Linked DNA regions of Mus musculus: region 1 is reported to be linked to region 2. The links are microRNA targets in miRTarBase. Many come from high-throughput screens and were not tested one by one. Region 2 holds a microRNA gene; the other region holds the end of a gene's coding sequence.

The links. Region 2 holds the annotated microRNA mmu-miR-107-3p (AGCAGCAUUGUACAGGGCUAUCA, at 1,888-1,910, shown strand). A microRNA usually pairs through its seed, bases 2 to 8, with sites in the 3' UTR of a target mRNA and lowers its output. Matches are read on the target gene's strand: a 7mer-m8 pairs with bases 2 to 8, a 7mer-A1 pairs with bases 2 to 7 and ends in A, and an 8mer does both.
Region 1: the mRNA of Cdk6 is a reported target of mmu-miR-107-3p. Seed matches in the 3' UTR shown: 7mer-m8 at 766-772.

The regions. Positions count from the first base shown.
Region 1 is chr5:3,520,335-3,523,403 of GRCm38, forward strand. Cdk6 (cyclin-dependent kinase 6) reads left to right here. Exons shown (of 8, transcript NM_009873.3): 8 at 311-3,069. The coding sequence ends at 457. Among named protein-coding and RNA genes, the nearest start is that of Fam133b, 22 kb to the right of the region's middle.
Region 2 is chr19:34,819,484-34,822,609 of GRCm38, reverse strand. Mir107 (microRNA 107) reads left to right here and starts at 1,837; the gene lies at 1,837-1,923. It overlaps Pank1 (pantothenate kinase 1), which reads left to right. Exons shown (of 7, transcript NM_001114339.2): 4 at 721-897; 5 at 1,387-1,510.

The DNA of each region.
Region 1 (3,069 bases), not on the chromosome of region 2:
AGAACCATGACCAAAGGCCTAGGTCAGTTATGTGGTCAGGGCAGCTTGAAGAAAGGTGAGAATGTTCAACCCTTGAGTAAGTTGTGATACTAGAAGGTAATTTTAAGTCAGGTGTCTGGTAATCACATTAATTGTTTTTACGGAAGCAGCACTTCTTGTGTCGGGGTGTTTTACTTTAGTTCATGTCGTGCTGGTGACTTTTCTCCCCAAATAGAACTGTGGAAAAATTTTAGCCACCTTTTCCAAGACTTCCCCCAAGGTCCAGGGTTGGCCGTGCTATGTTTCACACCAGATGTTCTCTGTATTGCAGAAATGCCTGACGTTTAATCCAGCTAAAAGGATATCCGCCTACGGCGCCCTGAATCACCCGTACTTCCAAGATCTGGAGAGATACAAGGACAACCTGAACTCTCACCTGCCATCCAACCAGAGCACCTCGGAGCTGAACACAGCCTGAGGTTCCACGGGGATGCCCATGAGCTCGTCATCTGAACACATTGGCGGCTGCGAGTCCCCTAAGCAAGCCTCTCAGAGCAGTTGAAGATTGCTGGCTGCCAACCTTCTGGCTGCCAGCTTCTGGGTGGGCTCTGCCTTACCAAGGAAACCACCTAGTTTACTGTTCAGAGATCAATGCAAGGGTGATTGCAGCTTTATGTTCGTTTGTACACTTGTTTGTTTTGTCTGTTTGTTTCAAGAACCTGGAAAACTTCCAGAAGAAGAGAAGCTGCTGACCAATTGTGCTGCCATTTCGTTTTCTAACCTTGAATGCTGCCAGTGTAGGGTGGGAATCCAGGCCCAGCTGAGTTATGATGTAATCCGCCTGCAGCTGCTGGGCCTGCTTTGGTACTTGTGAGTGTGTGTGCATGCGTATGTGTGTGTAAGAGAGAAGAGGAGGGGAGAGAAAGACCCCTGATCTCGTCAAGTGTTACTTTTTTTTTGTAGAAAACAAGAATAATTGAGTTTTAAAGAGTAGAGGTGACTGATAGTAAGAAGGGCTTGTTCAGTGAAAGGTGATTCACAATGGAGTCTTGTTAGGAAGGTTGGACCTAAGTCCTCAGAGTTGCCTTCCTGTCCAAAAGCTTTTGCTAGCAGTAAACAATAAAGGTTTAGATGCCACAAAAAATGGGGGGAACCACAATATTTTTTAAGAGACTTTTTAAGGCATACATCTTCTATTTACTCTTTGGAAAGCTGAACTTAATGTGTCCCAGGCCCTATATATAGTACAGTATGTACTTAATTGTTTCTTTGGGGAAAGATGCTATAAGTATCTTATTACTTGCAATACATTTAAGGAGTGAGTGTACCTCAGATAGGTTTTAAAGATAGAGAGCACCTGTTTTCTGGTGTGAGATGTTATCATTTTCTTCACGTCTCTTGATACCTTGATACCTTGTCACCTTAGGGAATCACTTCCTGCTCTGACTAGAGGCGGGAATACCATCTAGCTGTCTCCACCACCCACCATGGCGCATCTGCCTTGTGCTGCCTTGTGTAGTGCGAAGCTCTCAACCACCAGCACTTCTAATTCATTTTCCTGCCACTGCCTGGCTAACGACAGATGGCCCAGCTGCCCCAATCCCACACCCGCTTGCACGCTTACCGTCTTTCACCGAATGCTTTGGGCGTAGGCTCCCATTCCGAAACCCTAACAGTATCCCCTTGTGCCTTTGTAATACAGTCTTCCCCCTGCCGCAGCTGAGGTCACCTAGGCAGTGAAGAGTGCTTGTTCTGTGTGTGTATAGACTACTACCGACTGTCACTTGGTGTTTCCTATCTTTAAGTGTATGTTGTCAGTGTAATGTCTGAGGAAATGTCTTTTCCTCTCTTCTAGAGATAACTACTTACTCTCTAAAGTGATCTCTCTGTCTGTCCGCAGGATGTGTTTCTGGGTTTTTGTTCTTTTTTTTTTTTTTTTTTTTTTTTTGTCTGAGGCCTCATGTCAGCCCTGCTTTCTGCAGAGCCAGCCTACCCTGGGCATTATAAACAACTGTACCTTACTGTTTTCTTTCAGTCCTTTACATTCTGTGCCACCTTTGCCTTATTATATCCGTGGCTTAGTGCTAAGCTGGCACTACTCCATAGAAGGTGTAGAAGGCAGCTTTCGGGAAGCGTAGCTGAGTTTTGTTTGAATCGTGTTTGAGCACATTTAAGTAAACGCTAGATGATGCTTCACTGTAGAGCTTTGAAAGACTGCCTGATGTTTCACACGGCAGTGTAGGCTCCAGATGGTGTTTGTATGTTATGGACCTTACTGTGTTTCTCGTAGCTGAACAATGCATGTGGTTATTTGTTTGTTTGTTTTTTGGTTTCTCTGTGTAGCCCTGGCTGTCCTGGAACTCACTCTGTAGACCAGGCTGGCCTCGAATTCAGAAATGCGCCTGCCTCTGCCTCCCAAGTGCTGGGATCAAAGGCGTGCGCCACCACGCCCGGCTTTGCATATGGTTATCTGTATGGAGAAGAATTAGATGTCTTTCCTGAGAGCTTTGGAGGTTGGGAATCATCTTCTTCTGTTTATTTTTATTTTTAACATTACATTACATTCTTCTGATTCAGTATCGCAAGAAAGGATTTTTTCTTTTTTCAAAAACAAAACTTTAAGAAGCCAGAGGCTAGGCTGAGAATGTTCTGCGCTCGTCCTCACAGCTCTGCTGCCGACACTGCCAACGCTCGAGACAGTCAGCCTGGAACCTCTGGGACAAGGTCTACTCGAGGTCTCACTTGGACAGCGAGTTCTGCCTTGTCATTGAACAAGGTCCAAAATACAGACATTTTTGCTAGGGCCTAGAAATCGACCATAAAACTCACTGCATTGAGGCCTAATCCATTCTATATTAACATCCATGTGATAAAGTGAAAATAATTTTGAGGGTTTTGCTTTCGCCAAAAAAAAAAAAGAAAGAAAGAAAAAAAAAGAAAGGAAGAAAAAGAAAAAAGAAAGGATTGTTTTCCTTAGCTTTGCTCAAGAAAAATACAGCTATCCTAAACTGGAATCTTCCCGTATTCTTTAGAGTCTTAAGTATAGAGTTTAACTTCACTTTTGTCAGCTGTCTTGAGCTTATTTCTAAG
Region 2 (3,126 bases):
ACTTTTTTTTTCTTTTACTGTTGGGTGGTAATTAGAAATAAGCAATACCCTTTCCCAAAGACTAGTAGAAAACATTATTTTATTAGGGAGGCAGTAGTTTTCTCTCAAAATTCCCAAGGTAGATTGAGATGAATACTCTAGAGAAGTAGGGTGTCTGGAAAGGCCACCTGGGTTTGAGGCTGGGGCAGAGCCATGAGTCGACTTTGTCATCCCGGGGCCTTGGCTCTGTAGTCAGGAAGTATGAGCACGCCATAGCTTCCCCTGTGAATTTTCATTCAGTCGAATGTGATGTTCGACATCATCCATTTCACTGGTAACGTGCTGCTATCAGACTACCCAAACAGAAGAAACCATGATTTGACCACTTTCAAAGGTGAGCAAAATGAACTTAGGCTGGCAGACAACACTTAGGCTAGTAGCTGGCTGAAGGTCTCACAACAGAAATCAGTGAGAGTCTTTTTCAATTTTATTCTCAAATTTAGGGGCATGTTTTCCTTGACGATTAATCATACCTGCTGCCCTCTTTTCTGATCCAGTCCACCCTTAAGTTCGGTTATAACGCTGGCCCCTGACTCAGGTGCCCCGCTGCTCTTCACCAAAGCGCCCCTTTGTCTTTCTGCATTTTTATGAAGCCATATTAATAGTCTTGGTGTAGCTGGGGACTTGGATGGGCATATCACAAAGCGACAATTTTAAAAATCAACCTTATTGTTCCTTCAGTCTTGGAGGTGGGACATTCCTAGGCCTATGTTGCTTGCTGACTGGTTGTGAGACCTTTGAAGAAGCTCTGGACATGGCAGCTAAAGGCGACAGCACCAATGTGGATAAGCTGGTGAAGGACATTTACGGAGGAGACTATGAGCGATTTGGCCTTCAAGGATCTGCTGTAGCATCAAGGTAGAGACTAAGTGGCTAGGAGCTGTAGAGAATCCACACAAAGCAGGTTCTCTGCCCTGACCATTCATCTAGCTTTTTCAAATACATGTCAGCCTACCAGCCTGGTGCAAATATCTATCACGTCAGACCTCAGACTTGATTCCTGTCCTTAGTGAGGCGCTGAAACCTTTACCACTTGATACTTGTGCTTAAGATAAGGCAACTTTGAAAGAAGGTTCTGGAAAAGTGCCATGGTTTCTCCCATTCCATTCTAGTCTAGAAGCATTACAAGTTTCTCTCCCGTTAATAGTCATACTACTCTGTCCCTTGCTAAGAAGGAGGCAGCCAGCTATTCATAGTGTAATACTGTCTGCTTATGAGCCGTGATAGTGGAGTCCGCTCATTTGAGTCTCAGGAGGATTTTTCATAGTGCTTCCCAGAGTTCCTTGGTGGAAGCTTGGGTCCTGCCTGGGGATGACTTTGACACTCTCAATGATATTCCCAACATAGCTTTGGCAACATGATGAGCAAAGAAAAGAGAGAGTCCATCAGCAAAGAAGACCTCGCCCGGGCCACATTGGTCACCATCACCAACAACATTGGCTCCATTGCTCGGATGTGTGCACTGAATGAGGTAAGGCTTAAACCCTGAGACGGCCAGGGGCCACCCCCCTGCATCATCTTTGGCAATATAAGAACTGTTGTCATTCTCAGAAAACTTGCCCTTTATTAGGTGGTTACACCTTCTCGAACATGAGAAGGGTACAGCGAGTGAGGAGGGAGATATTAGGATTTACTTTTAAATGAATACCCGCATGGAAGCAGGCTAAAATTCCAGTCTACCTTCCATTCTTTCTAACTGCCATTACTGCCGTAGACCACGGAGATGTGAGGCAAGCCCTGGGTGTATGCACAGATAACCGAACAAGAAAATGCTTCCACCCGCAATACTCGATATTTTTCTCTGTGCTTTCAGCTTCTTTACAGTGTTGCCTTGTGGCATGGAGTTCAAGCAGCATTGTACAGGGCTATCAAAGCACAGAGAGCTCGCGACAGCCAAGGCCAGCCAGAGCCCCCAGGCGTAAGGAGAGTGTAGCACTGAGGACAGGCATAGCTTTATTAACAAGTTTTGAAAGATTGCTAAGTTCTTTTGGGAAAGGGAAAAGTGCAACCCCTTTCTAAGGAACAAGGGTTGAGAAGTAGAACCGTCCTCTCCTTGAGACATGTTAGGAAGACAAGCAAAAGAGCTTGGCGAGTGAAACAGGTAATAGGAGACACGTATACGAAGCACAGTAGGTCAATATGCAGTTTGTAATAGAAATATGACATGCATGCAAAAGATAGTTCAAATCATAAGTATCGTAAATATTACACACACACGCACACGCACACACACACACACACACACACGAGTCACTACCTAGATCAAAAAATGAGATTTTAAAGGTACTTCAAAGCCTTTTTGAGAGCTAGAGAGACAGGTCGGTAGTTAAGAGCTTGTGCTTCTCCTGCAGAGGAGTTGAGCTTGGCTTCCCAGCATCCGTGTCTGGTTGCTCACGGCTGCCCTTAACTGCAGCTCCAGGGGATCTGGGGAGTCGCTTCCAAGCAGCGTTAGGGTACAAAGCACTTCTGTTTGTTTGTGTATCTGTTTTCATGCTCGGTCTGGATTTGAGCTTTGTGGTTACAAAAAAACACCCCTCCCACACACAACCCTGAGTAGAGTATGTTCCTGTCACCTGGAGAGCAGTCAGCACTTACTGGCAGTCCCTAGTCCACCTGGGTTTAGGAAGCTGGTGATCAGGCTCCCAAGACATGTCTTCTCAAAGTCCGCTTTGGTCATGAGATGCACTGGAAATCCGGGTTTATTTTTCTAGCATTAACCTTTGCATAGTGTTTTTCCAAGTAGCCAAACAAGCTGTAAGACTAACATGTGGGTAGGCTGGCTGTGTTCATGGCTCTCAAAGGTCAGTTGCAGAGTGACAAATCTTTGCCCCACTGAGCAACTGTGACCTTTCCCCTGCTTTCCAGAGTCACCTCCTGCCTCACAGTTGGCTGGAGTGAGCCAGGTCTATTAAACACAGGTACCATAGTCCCTTTGGGTGAGGCAACAGAAGCATTGGTGAAGGTTTATTTCCAAGAGCATGGGCTCTTAACCAGTGGCCACAGCAATACAGACAATGTTGGTCCGTTCTCCATCAGCCATTGACTGTATAAATCCTCAGGAAGAGGTAGGACCGATGAGTCCTTCCC